Rattus norvegicus: one gene and its partners. The protein of the gene in region 1 purifies or fractionates together with the protein of each later gene. This does not show direct contact. Links are inferred from orthologs where the notes say so. Each region holds a gene or a part of one and is shown in the gene's direction. Other genes may lie near its edges.

The links.
Region 2: the proteins of Slx4 (region 1) and Rtel1 purify together in Homo sapiens (affinity purification with mass spectrometry; 3 studies listed by BioGRID, with this or other methods). This does not show direct contact. The link is inferred for Rattus norvegicus from reciprocal best matches to the Homo sapiens genes SLX4 and RTEL1.
Region 3: the proteins of Slx4 (region 1) and Slx4ip purify together in Homo sapiens (affinity purification with mass spectrometry; 6 studies listed by BioGRID and IntAct, with this or other methods). This does not show direct contact. The link is inferred for Rattus norvegicus from reciprocal best matches to the Homo sapiens genes SLX4 and SLX4IP.
Region 4: the proteins of Slx4 (region 1) and Pgam5 purify together in Homo sapiens (affinity purification with mass spectrometry; 4 studies listed by BioGRID and IntAct, with this or other methods). This does not show direct contact. The link is inferred for Rattus norvegicus from reciprocal best matches to the Homo sapiens genes SLX4 and PGAM5.
Region 5: the proteins of Slx4 (region 1) and Kpna1 purify together in Homo sapiens (co-immunoprecipitation; 3 studies listed by BioGRID and IntAct, with this or other methods). This does not show direct contact. The link is inferred for Rattus norvegicus from reciprocal best matches to the Homo sapiens genes SLX4 and KPNA1.
Region 6: the proteins of Slx4 (region 1) and Topbp1 purify together in Homo sapiens (affinity purification with mass spectrometry; 3 studies listed by BioGRID, with this or other methods). This does not show direct contact. The link is inferred for Rattus norvegicus from reciprocal best matches to the Homo sapiens genes SLX4 and TOPBP1.

Annotation. Positions count from the first base shown.
Region 1 is NC_086028.1:12,053,091-12,056,185, forward strand, and holds the end of Slx4 (structure-specific endonuclease subunit SLX4), read left to right. Parts: intron 1-118; coding exon 119-221; intron 222-770; coding exon 771-1,184; intron 1,185-1,576; coding exon 1,577-1,928; 3' UTR 1,929-2,595; downstream 2,596-3,095. UniProt on the Homo sapiens protein: Regulatory subunit that interacts with and increases the activity of different structure-specific endonucleases.
Region 2 is NC_086021.1:188,838,998-188,841,187, forward strand, and holds part of Rtel1 (regulator of telomere elongation helicase 1), read left to right. Parts: intron 1-201; coding exon 202-297; intron 298-1,266; coding exon 1,267-1,465; intron 1,466-1,635; coding exon 1,636-1,776; intron 1,777-2,190. UniProt on the Homo sapiens protein: A probable ATP-dependent DNA helicase implicated in telomere-length regulation, DNA repair and the maintenance of genomic stability. Acts as an anti-recombinase to counteract toxic recombination and limit crossover during meiosis.
Region 3 is NC_086021.1:144,672,602-144,676,646, forward strand, and holds the start of Slx4ip (protein SLX4IP), read left to right. Parts: upstream 1-1,245; 5' UTR 1,246-1,394; intron 1,395-1,540; exon of another isoform or gene 1,541-1,683; intron 1,684-3,591; exon of another isoform or gene 3,592-3,696; intron 3,697-4,045.
Region 4 is NC_086030.1:52,067,546-52,071,822, forward strand, and holds the start of Pgam5 (serine/threonine-protein phosphatase PGAM5, mitochondrial), read left to right. Parts: upstream 1-1,477; 5' UTR 1,478-1,557; coding exon 1,558-1,745; intron 1,746-4,235; coding exon 4,236-4,277. UniProt on the Homo sapiens protein: Mitochondrial serine/threonine phosphatase that dephosphorylates various substrates and thus plays a role in different biological processes including cellular senescence or mitophagy. Modulates cellular senescence by regulating mitochondrial dynamics.
Region 5 is NC_086029.1:78,242,132-78,245,631, reverse strand, and holds part of Kpna1 (importin subunit alpha-5), read left to right. Parts: intron 1-929; coding exon 930-1,061; intron 1,062-1,807; coding exon 1,808-1,896; intron 1,897-2,228; coding exon 2,229-2,328; intron 2,329-3,036; coding exon 3,037-3,200; intron 3,201-3,500. UniProt on the Homo sapiens protein: Functions in nuclear protein import as an adapter protein for nuclear receptor KPNB1. Binds specifically and directly to substrates containing either a simple or bipartite NLS motif.
Region 6 is NC_086026.1:112,794,291-112,797,790, forward strand, and holds part of Topbp1 (DNA topoisomerase 2-binding protein 1), read left to right. Parts: intron 1-1,433; coding exon of another isoform or gene 1,434-1,510; exon of another isoform or gene 1,511-1,520; intron 1,521-1,963; coding exon 1,964-2,156; intron 2,157-3,500. UniProt on the Homo sapiens protein: Scaffold protein that acts as a key protein-protein adapter in DNA replication and DNA repair. Composed of multiple BRCT domains, which specifically recognize and bind phosphorylated proteins, bringing proteins together into functional combinations.

The DNA of each region.
Region 1 (3,095 bases):
CCTTGGGCACAGTGTTGATTGGGGTCTCTCCTTTTCCATGGTGACACTTCTGGGGCAAAAGGTGGTGGCAGACCCATGCCTCTTACACTAAATCATGTGCTTCTTGTGTTTTATCCAGAAGGTGCTAACCAGAGAAAGAACTTGCCCCCCAAAGTGCCTGTAACCCCAATGCCAAGGTATTCGATCATGGAGACCCCAGTGCTGAAGAGAGAACTGGACAGGTTGGTAGTGACTCCGACTTCCTCGTAGGTGGTCTCCTGCGAAGAACCAGGCCGGGCAAGTGGGATGACCCAGCACTTGACCCTTAGCCCGGGGAGGAATTCCTGCAGTTTGCTCTGCATAGACTCGAGTGGGTTGAGTGGCTGGGCTTTTCCACGTCCTTACCAACCGTGAGCTCCTAGCGCTGACAGACGACTCCTGTGGTTACTCCATGCTGGTAGGAATGGAGCCCTAGCCGTGCCAGCCAAGTAAGGAGACTTAATTTTGTACCACGATGTGAAAACTGCCACATCCCGAGCAGTGGTGCTCCTCAGTCTCAGATACTTGGTGAAGTCAGTGCTCCCACTGTCCCAGGACACTGGGGACATTTCTGGCATGGGTAGCCTTCAGAGGAGGCTTGGTTGGCATGTGGCCACATGGTCAGCTTTGCACACCTAAGCAAGTCGGGCTTGTGAAACTTGAGTCCACTAAAGCCACACGTTACTCTGCAGCAGAGTGTGGTGGTAGGGCCTTGCTGCTGGACGTTGATGTTCATCTCTTTCCACATGCAGGTTTGGAGTCCGTGCTCTGCCCAAACGCCAGATGGTTCTAAAACTGAAGGAGATTTTCCAGTACACTCACCAGACTCTGGAGTCAGACTCTGAGGATGAGATCCAGTCCTCCCAGGTACCCCCAGGGGTAGCTCGCAGCCAGGCATCGAACACTGAGACCTGCAACCCTTCAAGGTCAGGAAGTTACACCCAGCTCAAGGCCACTGCAGGTCTCCGGACTCAAAGATCCAAGGGCCCCAGTAAAAGGAAGAGCCTTCAACATCAGGAGGAGCAGCTCGGTGAAAGCATTTCCCACCCGAGCAGGTCACCAGCTGGGGAGCCTTCACGCCCTGATGGTGACGCCCAGCTCCCAGCCTCCCAGGAGTGCATGGCTACCTCTGTGGATGGCAGCGACAACTCCTTTAGCTCTCAGAGGTAATGGATGCAGCAGGGTCTGTCACACTGTGTGTCCTGTGAATGGTGGGTCTGAAAGGGCATTAGAGAAGCCTAATGGCCAGTGTCCGAAAGCACGTGATTTCTGTTCTCTAGGACGCCCACATGGCTTACGTGTTCATTCCGAGTCCCCACAGGCCTGAGGAGCCCCGTAGTTTCCTTAGATGCCTGTGCTTTCTGGGTGGGATTGGGAGGCAGATCCCACCTAGACTGGCCTGGCCAGGGAACCAAGAACCACAGAGACCTGTAGGGCACCATCAAGGAGTCTTGTCACGTGTCAGGCCCAACAGAACCATGGAAAGTCATCCCTCAAAGGGGTTCCTGGTCTTGGGAGCTGAGAAAAAGGTGTTACATAACACCATTGTTCTTTCCAGCTCCTCTGGTGAGTTTGGGGCTGCCTTGGAGTCTGTAGGCGAAGACAAGGATGAGGAGGATGGCGTCACCGCGTCACAGGTAGCGATGCAGGCCCCAGACACAGAGGAGGCGGTGAGGCGCTACATCTGCTCGCAGCCTGCCCTGCACAGGAAGGTCCTGATGTACCAGCCTCTGCAGCTGGCTGAGCTGCAGGCTGAGCTGAAGCAGAACGGCATTCCTGTGGCCATGGGCAAGCTGCTGGACATCCTGGATGCTCAATGTGTCACCTTCACGACTGCTGCCGCCCGCAAGGAGAAGCTCAGACAGAAGAGGCGGCAGCCCTCGGGCCGAAAGAAAAAGGATCAGAAATGACCGTCCTCCACCCAGTTAGACCTGCCAGAGGCCTGAGCACCTAGTGTAAGGGAGGCCTCCACAGTATGTCGTAGGACGTGGACCTGTGTCTGTGTAAAGGACAAGAAGTCTTCTGCACTCTAACTGTGTGTGTCACCCTTGGTCTCAGAGCAGACCCTCCCCCCTCAGCCAGCACTAGTTTTCCCCCTTTGGCCCAAGCAGGGTCCCCATCCTATGTGTACCTGAAAGGCAGTGGGCCATACCAGCTGACCAGGCCAAGACCCAAGCCTCTTCTCTTGCCAGTGTCCAGCACAGCCAAGCACACCACGGCGGACCAGACAGGATGGGCAGCCTGCACCACTATTGTCATAGGTGCTCTTCCGCCCTGTGCCTGCCCAGACACTTGCCACTGTCACCAGCATTCTTCAAGTAGGACTGTGAGTAGGGCCCAGTACAGCTTTGAAGACCCCCAAAGTAAGCATGTTTGTGGGCTCTGCCCATTTGTGTTAGGCCTCTTTGACCCAGTGTGGACTCTGGGACCAGAAAAAACCCAGAAGTTTGGATTTCTACAGCTTGTGAATGTCCTTATGTGTTTTAAATACAGTGAAGTTGTTTTATATGATGTGCAATAAAAAACAAAGAAGGCTTTATTTAAAAAAAAAACAATAAACTTAGACACTCCTCTCTGGGAAAGCTGTGGGGAACACACAGTGAGCTGGGGCCCTCCGCCCTGCCGCCCACCAACGCCTTTGCACGTGTTCTGACCTTGACTGCTTACTGTCCGCTGATGTACATCCCTAAGAACACATGCAGATGCCACTTGTTACTGTCTGCACAGGCACTAACTCCAGCTGCTGCTGCTCAGGGGAACAGGCCAGGGACAGTCTCAGTGTCACCTGGAGTGTCACAAGTGCCAGGCTGGGCCTGTTGGACCTACTGAATCAGCTTGCTTTGTTAACACTGACCTAGAGTTGTGCCAGGCCACGTCGAAAGAAAGATCAGCCAGCCATTCTTTTAGGAGCTGCAGTGTGGCTTGGTGATAAAGTATACCTAAGGTTCTGTTCAGTTCCTAGCACTACGAGAAAGCCATGACATCAAGGACAGATTCCTGGGAAGGATTTATGAGCTGATCTTAGAGGCCAGGGAGGTCAGAACAAAGCTTGGTGTTTGTGGAATGTGTCCTGGCCA
Region 2 (2,190 bases), on another chromosome or scaffold:
CCCTCTCAATACCTGCAGACAAGGCCAAGGGGCATGACATAAAAGGGCCAGAATTTCAGCATTGCCACCAGAATTAGGGTATGACCTTTCCCTGCATCCCCTTTTCAAGTCTCTATTCAGGACACAGACAAGGATCCTGAGAACCCAAAAGGTACTTTGGAAACTGGGTTTGGGTTGGGACCATAGCTCTGTTTCCCTCAGGCACTCAGCTCCTCCACCCCATCTCTCCGGTGTGAAAAGAGGCTGTCCGTTGAGCAAAGAGGAGGAAAGAAGAAAGTCAGGCTGGTCAACCATCCGGTATGTTAGTGTCTCCTGCAGCTAAGATAGCTGCTTATGGGCACATGTGAGAATCTTGCCTCTGGTGCCTATTGCCCCTAAGCAAGGGGGTAGCCTCCAGTTTGCCATTCTTTCTCTAAAAAGACAATCCCGCCTTCCCATTTTTTTTTTTTTTTTTTTTTTTAGTTTGAGACAGGGTTGTAAAAAGGCTGGCATTGAATTTACTATGTAACAAGAATGACTTTGAACTCTTGATCATCCTCTTGCCTCTACTTCCCAACTGCTGAGATTACATGCGTGTGCCACTGTACTCAGCCTGCTCAAGAGATCTTTTTCTTTTATGCTGGAATCTAGCCTAACCCTTAGGATTATTTGGTTTGGGGTCTATGGTTGTGATTCCCTCCACCATAATGAACAGTGGCCTGATGGTGGCTCTTTCTGAGTGGACACTGAATTATCTGTGTGAGGAGGTACCGTGTGTTCTTAGTCTCAGATGCAAAGTTTAGTTACATCCTAAGCCATTAACCCCTACCTGCTGGAAAGGTGGCTTTTGTTCTTGTCCAGCTTATAAGACAATTCAAACAGTGCCCAGGAGGGCTGTTGCATCTGGTAGTACACTAGATACGGAGGGCCTGAGCCTGTTGAAGGCTGGAAATGGTAGGGGTGGGAGCTGTCTTACATAGTTCTTTATAGATCTGAGATGCACACAAGTGGAGTGCAGCCTGTTGAGAAGTGCCCTTCTCTACAGGTACATCTGCTGTGGGGTCATATAGGTTCCCTATAGGTTTCCAACTGCTTTTGGTGTGATCTCAGACAGGCCTGAGCTTCACCACATACCAGAACTGGGTCTTGTTTCTCTAGCAGTGCTCTGCTTTTTGCCCTGGTAGATAGTTCACAGGCAATAGCCTGAATGGCCCCAAACTCTGTACTGCCTCCAAGGCAGGAGGAAAGGGCTGGCTCCAATAGGGCTCTTGGTCATATTTCTTCTAGGAGGAACCAGTGGCTGGCACACAGGCAGGCAGAGCCAAGATGTTCATGGTGGCCGTGAAGCAAGCACTGAGCCAAGCTAACTTTGACACCTTTACCCAGGCCCTGCAGCACTATAAGAGTTCTGATGACTTTGAAGCCCTAGTGGCCTCTCTCACCTGCCTCTTTGCTGAAGACCCCAAGAAACACACCCTACTTAAAGGTACCCTGGTTTTCAAAATTCTGCTATAGGGTTAACACCACTGCAGTGGGGGTGGGACTGGTTATAGGGCCCAGGGTTGACTGCTTTCCAGAGAAACGGCCTAGTAGTTAAGCCATGGTCCAGAGTAATAGTATATGGACTCTATAGACTCAGACAACTACTTCCCACAGGTTTCTACCAGTTTGTACGACCCCACCACAAGCAGCAGTTTGAGGACATCTGCTTCCAGCTAACAGGCCAACGATGTAGCTACCAGCCAGGAAACAGCCTTCCCTTTGGAGAGCAAGCACAGTCAACTGCCAGTAAGCAAGGTCCCAGGCTAGACACACAACCTCAGATTCAAAGGGCAGTTTATACTAGAATGGGTTTAGTAGGCATCCCTCGTCTCTTGCTTGGCTTCTTTAACCAATGTTCTCCCAGATTCTGTCTCCAAAGGGTAGCTCTGTTTGTTGGACCTGCCCCTAGGGAACTCATGCTAGTGTCTTGGCAGCTGTGTACCTGTCCTACTTCTGTCCTGACTGAACAGCTGAGCTGGCCCCTCCACAGAGCAGTACCTGTGCAGTGCTTTATGTAGGGCAGGTGTGTTAGAGGGAACTTATTCATCCACAGAGCAGTATTTGTTCCAGTGCTTTACGCATGCAGGTATGGCAGAGGGAAAACTTACCCTTTGGGCTTAGTACTTATGCCCCTAAGCAGCCCCTGACCTAAGACAGTCAGGTGGGTCT
Region 3 (4,045 bases), on another chromosome or scaffold:
CTAGGTGCCTCTGTATCCCCGCCCCCAAATACCCTTGGTCACGGCCACTTCCCATGTGGGGACGCAGCAGGGCCACAGGGGGCTTCTCCACCGGCGGCTTGAACCCTCTCACCTGCCCACCAGCAGCTGCACCTCGCGGCCAGGCCGCCTTCGCCACCAAAAGCCAGAAAACGCTCTTGCACAGCAACCAACCATTCACCAGAGCGCCACCACCTTTGCCCTGCGCGGCGGGAAGGCGCATGCGCAACTCCACGCGCACCCCTTTTCCGGGGTTTGCCTGCAGCTCCCGCAGAGAAAAGCTGCGGCCGTCACCGGAAACCTTACGGGGCCGACGTGTATTTTGTCTGTGCAAACTACCAAAACGGAAAAGGTATAAAAACACATCACAGCGCCAAGAAGGCGACAGAGCTTGCGGCTCTCTGCTCTCTCAAAAGGTATTTGTAGAATGAATGAAGCTACCACCATTCTTGTGGCTTTTCCTGCTCTGACCAATCATAAGGCGCCTCGTTCTGTCACTCATTTGTCAATTCCCACCTCTCTCAGGACTACCTGAACTGTAGAAAGTAGCTCCGCCCTGCGGTCCGGCGAAGACGTCGGAGAGCGGGCATGCGCAGTCAGAGCCTGTCGCCTTGCAGGGAACTTCCGCCCAGTCTAAGGATCTGGTTTGGCAGAAGTTGGGAGTTTCCAATTCAGTGCCGGATCCGGTTGATTAATTTCCTTGGTTTTGCCATTCTTTTTTTTTTTCTTCTTCAGGGATAAGTCTTTTGTTCTCTTGAGCCACACGAAACATTATGGAATTATGTTTAAACATATTTTAATTACTTTTTCCCTGACCCTGTGAAAATCACCTTTATTTTTCAACCTTTTAATATTCCTCGTTAAAAATATTTTCTACACCTGCCCTATAGTTTTGTGATACCATGGAAAGTACGGCTTTTGTTGTTGTCCATCACTACGTATCGTTGACCTTCAGTGATACATTATCTGCCAATCGTATTCATGGCATTTCCAGCTTCTTTAAGAAAAAAAAAAAATCCGCTTTGGCCGCCATCTTTATTTTGGTCTCCATAAAGCTTTGATATCATCGACGCGAGCCATTTTTCGTTTGGGCAGTTCCTTCTGGCTATTCTGTTACCTTATCCAGGGCTTCGCCGCCATCGTAGGTCCTGGCACTGGCTTCTAAGTGTGTGAAGTCCGTCATGCCATCTTGTGTTTGGGCGCCGGTTGCATTCTCAAACGCGCGAGGGACACTGGGAAACAGGAAGTAGGCCAAAGCTTCTGAAGCTTGGCCCGCCGCCTTTTAGTCTGAGTTTTCACATCCAGGTGCTAGTCCACCAGTGACCCTGGACAGTAATAACACATATAAAGCCCGAACCCACCTCCTGCCACCATAGGTAAGACACTTCTGACATCCTAGCTGTTCCCTCAGTTGGACTGAAATGTTTGCCCATCTTATTTATATATACCACTATATTTTTCTCCTTTGGATTTTGGGACTTTCCACAGTTTTTCTCGTAGGTTTTCCTTCTCTTTCCATTAGAACTGTTAAACACCAGGGTGCAGGGAGACGGAGATTTAAAGGGCCAACAACGTTGAGGGAATTTCCATTGAATAAAATAGCCAAATGAATGGAACAGCAAATTTTATCATTTCATCAATGTATGGCTTTCTGCATCAATAGAGGTAAATATAGCTCCCAGAGATGTGATGTAGTTTTTATGTTTGTATATTCTTCCCATTCATTCATTCATTCGTTCATACATTGCATTTGTTGAATCCTTAGTTCTGTGCTATAAAATATAGAAGTAAACTTGAAAACAAAGCAAAACAAAAACTCAATCCTTTTTCATTCACTTCATTCACTTGCTTTGATACATGCTAAGCTGGGACCAAGAACATAATGTTCTAATGTTTCTTAACACTGCTGGACAAGCAACTTCATGTTCTCACTTCTCCTTTTCTTGGGCACTGTATATAACCATAATTGTAAGTCAAGAGGCTAATACTCCAGTTAGTGTGGCCTTGCTGCTCAGAGTAGTCATCTACCAGCCAGGTCAGCATCTTCTGGGAGCATGCTACTTGGAATGAGTAGAAGTTGCACTCGGACACAATGTAATATTGATTTGGAAACTTTGGACTGTGGCTTACCTTAGCTTTTGGTAGCTCCAAGCTTTCTTCTGTGTCTTTCTGTATGCGAAATCAATATCAGGAGTTCTCAACTTGTGCTGCCCATGACAATCACCCGGGGAGCTTCTAAACCAGACTTCAGACCAGTTGCAGGTAGAAATCAAGACTATATGGTGCTTAGAGGATACTAAGGTATTTGAGACATTTATGTTTTTCATGCTGTTAGGAGTAAGACTGCTTTTCACCTTCCTTGTTGGCTTTGCTTAAAATCCTATGGAGATAAAGAGGAATATTAGATTGGGTGGGTGATGAGCTAGCTTCCCAGTGATTGGTTACCTTGTCAAACAGCTTCCCAGTAATTTTTGCTTTGCCATATATGTCTTTTCAACAGTCTTAAGTGGGAAAGAAGAATGAATGCCACTTGTTTTGCGGAGTCTAACACTAATGTTTTATGAGTATGAAGGAAAACATTATTATACTGAAATATTGCTTGCTAGCAGTTTTTGCAATGCTGCTACTAAGGATAGTGATAGAGTGAACATGGGTAAGAAAATCAGTTCTCAAACCGTCCTCCCTGGCTTTATATCCTACTTCCTTCACTGACCAGTTCCAGCTCTGGGATCTAAAAGATAATCACTTACTCTTGGCTTTAGTTTCCTAACTTGTAAGGTAGGACTCCTGTGAGAGTTAGGTAAGTTAATACAAGAAATGAGCTTCTTAAAAATACCTGGCATGAACTGGAGAGATGGCTCAGCAGTTAAGAGCTGTATGCTGTTCTTCTAGAGAACCTGAGTTTAGTTCCCATCACCTATGTCAGGCAGTTCACAATTGCCTATAACTCCAGCTTCTTGGGGACTCAAGGTGTTCAAAGTCTGCAGGTGCCTACATTCACATTCACATTCACATGTGCAAACTGGCACAGAGGCACACCCCCTGTACATATAATTAAAAAAATAAAAATCTTTTAAGAAGTATGTGGCATATAGTAACAGCTATGAAAGTATTAGCTATAGTTGTTTTTATAAAAAGCTTGGATTATTAAGATTTTGTTTATATATTACCATGACTGAAACTTTACAGCTTTCTACTTTTGTGCATCTGTTTGAAAAAGAAGGTGATCTAAATATATTATCCAAGGCCAGAAGTACACTTTTTAAATCAAAAGGTCTTCTTTTAAACATAGCCTTATTAAGATAAAATTGTGGTGCAAATAACATTTTTTTAAATGTTCCATGGGTATGCTTTACACTGGTGACTCATCATCACAATCAAATAATGAACATACCCTTCACCCTCCAAAGTTTGGTTGTGTTCCTTGGTACTTCCTCTAGCTGCTGACAGAAGCATTATTTCAAAGGAATCTTGTACTACATGTTTCTATTTGTGGGGTGTGGGGGAGTATGTGTAACTATTTTGAGAGCCATCTTCGATATATTGATAGCTCATTTTCTTCTTTCCTTCTAGTTTTTTCTTTCGTGGTACTGCAGATTGAAGTCAGGGTTTGGTGCCTCTTAGGCAGGAGCTTCACAGACTCTTCAGCCAGTTTGAATTGCTGACAGCCATCAGTATGTGGGTACACAGTCATCTGCACAATTCACTAGTTGATAACCATTGAGATTTTTGTTTTCAGTGTGCTCATTTGCACCTAACCTTGTTCTTTGCCAGCTTATTTGAATTGAAAAAAAAAGTTATTTAGTGCTTGCTGTTCATGTACAATGAAACTAGAAGAGTACAGTGGTAAAACATTTTGTGTTGGGATTTTACCTTTCTCTCATACAGTTTATGCCTTAATTTTTTTATGAATAAGATATGTCATTTTAAAAATGCAAGACCTGTGGCTGGAGATGTAGCTAAGTGGCAGAGTTCTTGCCTAATATGCATGTGGTCCTGGGTCCAACTCTGTATTTAAAAAAAAAGA
Region 4 (4,277 bases), on another chromosome or scaffold:
CAGTCTTGTCTATACAGCATACTCCAAGGCAGCCAACACTACACAGGATTCCATCTCAGAGGAAGCAAAAAGAAACAGAAAAAAAGAAAAAAGAAACAGGAAAAGACACCTAGTTCCAAGAAGACAGACTGTGGAAGTCCAAATAGTTTAAGGTATCTAGAATACAAATCATGGGACAGGGAGCCAATAAGTAAGCACTGTTAAGAACTATACTGTAATTTTGTTACAGATTTTGTTAGGCCTTTATGTATGCACCTTATTGATGCTTCCTGTAAAAGATTAAAGCATTTAACAGGTCCTGCTCTGGTGCTTGGCTGAGGCCCTGTCAGGAAAGCAGACTCTTACGGACAACTTGCCACACTGCCCTCCTGGCAGCCAGTTTAGAGAGATATCAGGGCCCACTATGCAGGCACCTCTGCAGCCACAGTGGACCACCAAAACTTCTGTTGAACACTTGCTTCAATCGTGATCAGTCCAGACAGCCTCCACTGACACTGAAAAGTAGTATGAACAAGACATGCATGCTGGTGAACGCCGATGACCTTGCGATAATCTCATCCAAGCCAGATGGAGAGCACTTCCTCGGTGGCTCTGCAGAAAGCCTGTGGTTGATGCAAACGCATGAAGGACTGCCAGGACTGGGACTAAGACCCTTGCCACATCCCTTTTCTCTTTATATATAAGCCAACTGAAGCTCACTTTCCAGTCAGTGGAAATACAGCTTCTTGTGTCCCTTTATTTGATATTACAATTTCAGGCCTTAAAGATTTTTGTAAATAGTTTAGTTTATTTTTATTAGTAGTAGGGTAGGCTGAGCTGGTTACACAAAAAGGCTGACTGAGGCTAGAGAGAATAGAGAGCTGAGGTTATAGAAGGCTGTGGAAAAAATGAGAGATTCTGTTGCTAAGAGTTTTAGGGCCATTTTAGTCATTGTCAAAGGCCAAGGGTCCTGAGAATGTCTGAGGTTAGGGGTTCATTCAGGAGCCTTATTACCTTATTATTACCAAATGCCTGCTGCTGTTCACTACTGCTCAAAGCTAAAAATTATAATAGCTGCCAAGTGCTGGGCCTGTCGGTAGTTAAAGCCCAGAGCAATAAGCCCAAGCCTATAAGTCACTGGGCCTGCTAGTCTAGTCCCTAGGCCTTGAATTTGGCAGGGTCTAGAACTGCCAGCACTGGAAGGGCAGGTGGACACTTTTCCTACACAGAAAGACCTGGTCATTTGATCAATAACAACTAGGCAGAGGCGCGATGGTAGGTGTTAGGAAGATGTATACACTTAAGGATTACAAAAGAAAACACAAAAAACTTTAGATCTAGAGCAAGAGCCAATCCTGAGGTTTTTCAATTCATATAAATCTAATGCCTGACTGACTTCGTCCCCCTGGAGTCTCACCCGCCAAAGGGCAGGCATCTGCGCCTTCTACCCTAAAACCACCGGCAGGTGGCACTCCTTATCGCGTTTCCTGCTGTTTCGGGGAAAGGGGTGGGACGTCCACTAGCCGGAAGCGGAAGCGTGTCCCTGGCATCCCGCCGTCCGGTCGTGCGGCTTGCGGCATGGCTTTCCGGCAGGCTCTTCAGCTGGCGGCCTGTGGTCTGGCGGGTGGCTCGGCCGCTGTTCTCTTCTCGGCGGTAGCGGTAGGGAAGCCGAGAGCTGGCGGGGATGCAGACACGCGCACGACAGAGCCGCTGGCCTGGACCGGAGCGCGCCCCGGGCACGGCGTCTGGGACTCCAACTGGGACAGGTGCGGGGACGGGAGGGTGGGGCTCAGGCCTGTGCCCTCACATGCATCTCGGTGTGGCAGATATCGGTGCCCTGAAGGGGACGGTGTGTGTTAGTGGGTCTTGAGTTTGTGTGAATCGGGGCGACGGCCCTTTGAGGGTTCCCATACCAGAAGGTGCATCTTCCGAGGGTCTTCGTGCCTGGACCATCCATCCCTCTGAGGGACCTATACTCGCTCGGACCCCATCCTCGAAGAGTCCTTGTTCAGAGACCGTCCACCCGAAGGACTTCGTCCCAGGACCTTTGTGGGCCTGAAATTCTAAAGGCTTAAATTTTACTTATAGTCAGGGTCTTGATCAGGTTTGCCTCACAAATTGTCCTGATGCAGCTTGGGGGAAAATTGGGACTACGAGCTTGCTTTTCCTCCAGAGTCAGAGAACCTGTGCTTGAAATAGAACCAAGGGAACCCATGGAAACCGGGTATAGTGGCGTAGGACTTTAATCCCAGCACTGGGAGTCAGAGGTAGGCAGATCCCTGAATTCTTGGCTCTGTAGAAAAACCCTGTCTCTAAAAAAGGAAAATGAAGTTACCTGATATTAAATGTTTCATTTTTTTTTTTTTGCCATGTCTGCATATGCAGATGGACCGGTAGGTACAGTGACTGGATCTTTGTTAGGTGGGGGAAGGATGCATGACAGACAGATGGATAAACAAGACAGGAAGGGACTAAAACTGGCATATCCACTTGGTTTCTTTCTGCTGTGCATTCCTCTCTGACAGTCCTCTTCAAATTTTGTCTGGTCCAGCCAGCCCCACACATTCCTGTATCTGCAACAAGACTTTGGCTTGGTTGTATATGGGGCTAACACCCCAGGTTAGCCTGCTCAGATAATGCTTGAGCCACCACCAAACTCTGCAAACCTTCCTCTTCACCATTGCTGTCATTTGTCCTGTTCCTGCCTCCTACATTTAGCTGAGTAGCTTCAGTTTCTTCAGCTCCTACATCCAGTCCACTAACTGCGGTCCTCAGCATTGTGATGGTCACTACCTCGTGACTAGTGAACATTTAAAGTGTGTTTAGTGTGACTTAGAAAAGAGCTCTATTTTTATTTAGTTTTAATTTAATTATAGTAATCCCTCTAATGCTGAAGGATTGGTTCCAGGGTCTCTGAACATATCAAACTCTGTGGATGTTCAAAATGATGAAGTATTTGCAGATAACCTAGACATCTAGCTTATCCTCCTGTATACGTTAAGTAATTCCTAGATTATTTACCACCCCCAATACAATAAAATTGCTACCTAAGTAGATGTTAAATTATATAGCTTGAGGTAAAAATCACATACAGAAAGGTCTTTTTAATTCAGGTGTGAACTTTTGAGTATTTTTGATGCCCGGTTGATTGAATATTGAGTATGGAATCTTCAGCTACAAAAGACCTAAGCATATTCAATTTACTTATTCAACCTGGCCTTTTGCAACCCTTCCTCCTCAGCTTTCCATGTGTGAGGAGTCCAGACTCATACTATGAGAAAATAGAGCCAAGGGCCCATGTCTGATATTTTTAATTTACATTAGGGATGTTTGTGCAAGCTTGTCCTCCTTGTGCTTAGAAGGCTGAAGTAGGGTTGCTGCGATGTCAGCCTGAGCTACACTGAGAGGGCCTGTCTTACCACCAACAAAAGGAGTGAATGAACAGCCATGGGCTGGAGAGATGGCTCAGTGGTTAAGAACACTGACTGCTCCTCCGTAGGTCCTGAGGTCAACTTCCAGCAACCGTATGATGGCTCACAACCATCTGTAATGGGATCTGTTGCTCTCTTCTGGTGTGTCTGAAGATAGCGGCAGTTTACTCATATGCATAAAATAAATAAATCTTTAAAAAGCAATGAAACAGCCCCATGACTACCGGAGTCATACAGACAGTCCTGTTCTAGGCTCTGTTGCAATGCAACTTTCCATTCTTACCCCTGTCCTATCACTGCTTGCATATTTGTGGCATTATTGACAGTTTTCCTTTTTTTCCTTCTCGTGCATGTGTGAGTCTGTGTGAGAGCCTGAGGCACATAATGGAAGTTCTTTCTTGATCATACTTCAGATTTATCGTTTAAGGCATGGTCTCTCAGTCAAGCCCAGAACTTGCTAATAGAAGTAGTCTGACTACACAGCTTCTTGTGGGCATCCTGCCTCCACATTCTGAGGGTGGAGTTATAGGTGGGTCACTATCCAGTATTTATGTGGCTTCTGAACTCCAGTCTTCCTGCTTGTATAACAAGCACTTTAACCTCTGAGCCATCTCCCCAGCCTGTCTTCACAGAAACATGAGCCTAAGGCTTCATGTTCTATGCACACATCTGTATCACCCAGAGCAAGGCTGGCCTTCGGGAAGAGTGAAGATGTGCTCTGTGAGGCTAGGCTCTCTGGGCTGGGCTTCCCCCCTGGCCTTTTCCCAAGCACTGAAAGGTGTCTTGGACAAGAGGTCACAAGACAAGACATACTTTCATAATTAGGCGAGAGCCACTGTCACTCATTAACCTGAAGAAAAGGAACGT
Region 5 (3,500 bases), on another chromosome or scaffold:
ATTAACCTAATAAAATTCAGGAGTTTTTTTTTTGTTTGTTTGTTTTGTTTTTGTTTTTTGTTTTTTTCCCGGAGCTGGGGACCGAACCCAGGGCCTTGCGCTTGCTAGGCAAGCACTCTACCACTGAGCTAAATCCCCAACCCCAAAATTCAGGAGTCTTGATTGAATTACTTTTGGATTTCTTAATGTTAAGCTAAAGAGAAAATTAAGAATCTCTGAAATTGGTAATAGCTGTAATTGTTGGCCATAAGTTCATTTCTCCTTACCAGTGCTGTAATACTAGGCCGACTTTTCCTCCGTTCAACTTTGCCACCACCTCTTCATCTCCCCCCCCCTCCTCTTTTTCTTTTTTCTTGTAAGAAACTTACCTTTAGCTGCTGGGTATAGTGGCACTTGTTTTTAATCCTGACACTTGGGAGGCAGATGCAGGCAGACCTCTTGATTTCAAGGCCAGTGTGGTCTACATAGAGAGCTCCAGGCCATTTCATAATCATCTAGGCCTGTCTGTGTAAGCTTATGATGGTTTCTTGTGACTGTCTAGAGATTATGTGTACAATATGTATATTAATGTGTTTATTCCCTTTTAACCTTTTAATGAAATGGTATTTTAACTGTATTGAAGTATATTATTTGTCATTTTGTTCCTTTCATTAGAGATCATTTCATATAAACTTATGAAACACATTTTTTTCCCCTGTGGTTTCATGGTAATTATACTTTGGTCTGAAATTTTAGATACCTTTAAATATTCCTTTCATAGACTGAGGTATTCTGGAAACTATTTTAAATGAACATGGTATTTACAATATGCCAATAATAGTCCCAGTCTGACTCCAGACTTTTATTTTATGTTCAAAATACTGTATTTCTTTATGTAAATAACCTTCTAAATTTTAATAAGGTAATGGAACTTACTTTTGTCTTTGTAGTTTGAATCAGCTTGGGTCCTGACAAATATTGCTTCAGGAAACTCTCTTCAGACCCGGATTGTGATTCAGGCAGGAGCTGTTCCTATCTTCATCGAGTTGCTTAGCTCAGAGTTTGAAGATGTCCAGGAGCAGGTAAGGTCTCAGCAGTCACACAGATAAGAGAGCTCACATTCTCGTAGCCACACCCAGCTTCATTTAGATTACTCCATCACAGTGAGTCATAGCTTGTTTAAATAGGAAAAATCCTCTAGTATTTCCCTTTCAACCATGGCATTCTTGCAGCTTTTAGCTGTCTTCTTTTTAAAATAAAAATTGTACAGTGTGGCATGTACACCTGTGAGACCATTGTTATTAAACTTTCACAAGTTTAATAAACACCTATATTTTTATTTTGGTTATGTGCTTAAGAGTTTTCTATTAAAAGCAACCTTAAGTACATTTTTAATCTACCAAGTAAGCCATTTAAATCCTTGTTCTGTGCAGAGGACTATAAAATATTACTTATGAGGGAGGATGGGATCCTATAAAAATAATTGCCTCCAGACTGGGGGTACATCTTATTAGTAGTGGGGCAATTGTTCAGTGCCAGCAATTGTGTGAAGTCCTGAATTCAATTCCCAGCTCTGGGAAAAGTTCTCTTACTTGTAAGCTTTCACTTTAGTGGAACATTTCCTTTTGCTTTTCCACATAGTCACATATTTTCTAACTCTAATCCTGGAACTGCTTTGACTCCCTGATGAGTGGTTTTAAGAGTTAATAATAGTCTTTATATAAAATGTTGGTGAACTATTATTGATTTTGTAAAATGTTACTATGGTATGCTGGCATCCCTTTTAAAGAATTGTGAGGGAATGAAAGTATACAACTTTACTTCACAGGCAGTCTGGGCTCTTGGCAACATTGCTGGAGATAGCACCATGTGCAGGGACTACGTCTTAGACTGCAATATCCTTCCCCCTCTGCTGCAGTAAGTGTCGTCTTCTTCCTTTTTTCTTTTTTTTCTTTCTTTTTTTTTTTTTTTGATATGAGAAGTATTATATCTTGGGACATCATTTTGGATTTCCTAGTGTTATTTTGATTTCCAGTATCTTGTTACATTGTTAGGGTGATGTCTCTTACTGAAATTCTGAAATAGTGAATAAAAATTAGTGAAGTTTATCTTCAAAGAGTGAGTAATGTAGGAAAGGGATGAATCTTTATTGTTCTGGAGAAAAGTTAGAGAATCCTTTATCAGTAGTATTAATTCCTTTCTAGAGAATTAGTATCTTAGAACTTACCATGGAACCATTATACTTGTAGGTTATTTTCAAAGCAAAACCGCTTGACCATGACCCGGAATGCAGTGTGGGCTTTATCTAATCTATGTAGAGGGAAGAGTCCACCTCCAGAATTTGCTAAGGTAAATACTACGCTTGTGGGAAATTGTTAGGGAATACTGCTCTTAAATATTAATGTTTACAGAAAGGGATTTTTGTTTGCTTTGTGTTTGTTTTTCAAGATAGGGTTTCTCTTGTAGCTTTGGTTGTCCCAGAACTTGAGTCCAAGGCTGTCCTTGAACTCACAGAGAACTGCCTCCCTTTGCTTCCTGAGTGTTGGGATGACATGAACCATCACCACTTGGCTAGGACAATTTTTGATAAAATTATTTAGAGTGTTAGAAAATGTACTGGTTTGTAGAGAAAATGCTTTTGGTAGTTTGTTTTCGTTTTTAATTTAGTGTAGTTTCTCAGTGCTGGGATGAAGCTCTATGTTACGTTTAGGGCTGTAGCAGTTTTTGTGGATAACAAAGTTCTGCAACAGAAGTTCTCAGCAGTAGTGTTTGTGGAAGTTCCTTTACCTCCTTGTTGGAAGTGTGTATTAAGGAAGAATGCATAAAAGTTTTCTTCTTGAAATCAGTTTTCTTGTGTTCTGACATCCTCAGTTTAGTAAACTGAATACCTATTGACCACATTGCCAGAGATAGAAATGTCCTTCAGAGACTTGACGGTTCCTAACTAGAAGTGTAACTCACCCAGCATCTATCTGGTAAGCTTCTTGAGAGTCTTATCTCACTCCAGCAGTTGTAATCATCTTTTTTTTCTTTTCTTTTTTTTTTTTTTTAAACCAGGTTTCTCCCTGTCTGAATGTCCTTTCTTGGTTGCTGTTTGTCAGTGACACTGATGTACTGGCTGATGCTTGCTGGGCTCTCTCATACCTGTCAGATGGACCCAATGATAAAATCCAAGCAGTCATCGATGCAGGAGTATGCAGGAGACTTGTGGAGCTTCTGATGTAAGATGATCTTGAAGGAAGTGTCTGAGCACTCCTGCTTGTCTCCTTCCTGTTGCCATGATTCACAGTCTTAGAAGTGGACTTTGAGTCTCTGAATCTTTAGCTAATCCTTAGAAGAAAATGGAGCCACAATATGATGTTGAAACAGTAAAGTTATAAGCAGCATGAAATTAATTGGTGTACAAAACAGTTTTGTGTGTTATAGCTAATCGCAGACTAATTGTAGATCAGCAATGTAGTTTTGTTACAAGTTAAAGGCAGCATGGTGCTACTAGGGTCCAAAGAAGTAAAAATCTGAGA
Region 6 (3,500 bases), on another chromosome or scaffold:
CAGAGATCACCGTCCTCTTTCTTCCAAGTGCTGGATTAAAGACCTGCACCACAAGCCAAACGCACTTTCCACTTGTTGGTTTTGACTTGAAGTCCCACGTGCATTTTGCCGCTAATAGAAGAACTGGGTTGGCCGTCTAGCTTTGAAGCCAGACACCGACTTCTCCAATAGCCCTGGAGAGGCATCTTCTTCCGGTCTGAGTCATCTGCTTAGGGCAGTCAGTTGCAGCCTCGTGTCCATGAGAAGCTGTGTGCTCGCTGGAGTAGCACTGTGAATTTCTTCTGAGAATTTTCTCTTTGCATTCACAGCTTGACTGTTCAGCATAAGAGGCATAGCCTTTGACCTAACTTGGCTTTCATACATCCCTTTTTCACTCACCTTGGTCATTTAGAGCTAAAGAGAGGAGTGTGACTCTTTTCGCCTGGCACTTAAGCCACTGGATGTTAATTAAGCTAGTTTTAGTACTGTTGTTTCTTGGGGGTTGAGGAAGTCGTAGGAAGGAAAGAGATGGGGAGCAGCCAGTCAGGTGTGCCACTTGTGTAGGTGTGGGGCACACAGTAGCAACATCAGTGGTCACTGGCTACAGGCGACCGACCAACAGAATCATTTGGAAGACTTGGACAGTTGTTAATACATGGTTCACAGCCTTTTCTTTTCTTTTCTTTTTTTTTCTAAAAAAGAGCAATGTTTCAGTGTTTTCTGTTGCTGTAGAACTACACCTGGGGTAACCTAGATAAAGGGTACGTTTTTAGCTCTAACAGCTTTAGAAAATGAAAGTCTAAGCTTGCTTGGACTCTGATGAAGACCTTCTGGTATGTCAGGAGAGTTTATCAGGAAGGGAAAGAGTGCAAGTGGGTGAGTGTCATCACAAGAAAGACTGCAAGCAGGGTAGACCAGCGGAGCAACCTACAACAAAACCAGCCTGAGGCCCCTGAAAACTGCACTAATTGCTTCTGGGGCAGGCAGTGTTCCTCATGACCCAGCTACCTTAGGCTAGGCCTCATCTCTTAGGAGTTGACAGCACTCCACACACAGGAGGGTGTGCACCGAAGCCATAGACCATGTCTGGGAATCGGGAGCTGCTTCAGTCTTGGGTTTTGTTTGGTGGTTTAGTGTGTGGCTTGTGCTTTATTTTGCTGTTTCTTGCATTAGCAAGTTATTTTGAATTTCTTACTAATACAGATAGCGCTGCACTGATTACCTTATTTAGATGTGTGGGTTCTCTTCTGACAGGTTACTCTCTGGCTTCCTTATTCAGCCTGCCTATTAGAACTTGCTTTCTCACTTACCTGTTCCATTCTGTTCGTGTCAAACATTCCTACTTGGTATCTACTTGAATGTCTAGTCTGTAGTGGAAAGGAAAGACAAAGAGGGATTAGTGAAAGCTTGGGCAGTGCTTTACAGCACTAATCCTATTCTTGATGCTGAGGCAGGAGGAGCCGGCCTTCAAGACCAGTCTGAGCTATGGCAAGACCCATCCCCCAAAGCAAATAAACCTCAGAGCTATTGAAAAAAATCAGGTACATACAAATGACTATATGACTCTTTGTAGTATGCATCAATGAGAAGGGATCAGAAGCAAGCAGGGCACTACTCAGAGGGACTGAGCCAAGGCAGTCTTCAGTATTTCAGATACAGTCCTCAGGATTGCCTTTGTGTTTTGTGACATTTTAGCCTTGCATTCCTATATAAATATTCAGTAAATGGCAACTTTGTTTTTATTTAACCAGATCTAGACAAAATAGTTAAGATATGATTGACAAGAGACGTTTGTAACTGTATGGTAATGCATGTCTGAAATCCCAGAACTCTAGAGACTGTGGCAGGGATCACAATGGGGAGGGAGATCAGCCTAACCCCACACTCAGATCCTATCTTCAAAATCCAGCCAGGGGGAGGGAGAAGAAGGAGAGGAGGGGACACACTTCTCTTGATTGTTATTGACGACTGACTGTCTTTCAAGCTCTGACCCAGGCCTTGGAGATGAGAGAGAACTTCCAGAAACAACTACAAGAGATCATGTCAGCAACCTCCATCGTGAGGACACCAGCCCAGAAGACTTGCATGTCAAGAAGTAGTTGTAACAGCGCCTCTTCAACTCCTGACAGCACTCGCTCTGCTCGGAGTGGACGAAGCCGAGTCTTGGAGGCGCTCAGGTTCGTGTGGTGGCGGCTCACTTGGATGAAAACCCCTGGTGACTTGGGGTTCGGGTTAGGCTTTTTTTCCCCTCAGGCTGGCCTTGAACTCAGAGATCTATCCGCCTCTGCCTCCCAAGTGCTAGGACTGAAAGGTTTGTACCACCACACAGGACTTTAATTTTTATTTTTTTATTTTAAAATGAAGCAGAAGTTGGACTATTAAGGAGTTTATGCCGGTGCTTTATTTAACTACGCAGCGTGCTTTATCCCGCTGCCTTCTGGGTTTGTGTGTTGCTGCTCAGTTGTCTTCTGTGTTCTCTCTCGCTTAGGCCACTGCGCAGTTCTGACTGAAGTATGTGACTTAGGATTATCGTGTGTTTGAGTGTGTGCTGTGTGCTCATGGAGACATGCATGCCACAGTACCCATGTCAAGGTCAAAGGATGACCTGTGATGTCAGCTCCTTTCACCCCTAGCGGCTCCTAGGGATTGGACATATGAACCTAGGTCTCCAGCCGTCCTTTCCTTCCTTTTTATTTCTTATTTAAATTGTATGTACTTTTTAAAATCTGTGTTTTAGGAAAGATGACCACAGTTCTGAGTGCAGTATAACTTCAGCTCGGAGATATAACTGTATTTTCTCTGTCTTTATATTTTTGAGGCAAGGTTTTATCGTAGTCTGGCCTGCAATACTGTGTAACTAGTGTTAGCTCTAAACTCCCAGTTCTCCTGCTTTAACCTGCCAACTGCTGGAATTAGACCACCCCTCCCCCTCTGGACCACCTTTCACCCTCGTTCTGTATTGCTGTGTAGCCAAAGTGGGCTTTAAACTTGGTGTCTTTTATGTCAGTTTACCAAGTGTTGGATCCACCAATAGCATTTTCCTACTAGAAGACAGATCTCTAACTGTACGGTAGAGTTCTGGTGCCTGCTGACTTCATTTGTCTTACTCTGTGTTTTCCTTGAGGTAATGTTGAATTCTGAGAAAAGTGGCTTTTCCCTAACAGAGCAGGTTGTGTTTTAGATTATAGAATCTTACTCCGTGCCAAGTCATTTGCGACTAAAAGGCTCTCTTGGTTAGTTGGTTTGTTTTTAAGACAAGGTCTCACTGTGTAGCTCCACAAGGAGGAAGAAGAGAGCTAGCTCCTGTTAACCTCCACATAAACTCACTGTGTCACATATGTACACACACACACACACACACACACACACACAAATAAATGTAAAAATATTTTAAATATTTTTAAGGGACTAGAGAGAGTATAGTTAAAGAATGCTTGCTCCTCTCTAAAGGATCCAAGTTTAGTTCCCAGCACACACATGCTCATAACTGCCTGTGACTACAGATCAAGGGGATGACCTTG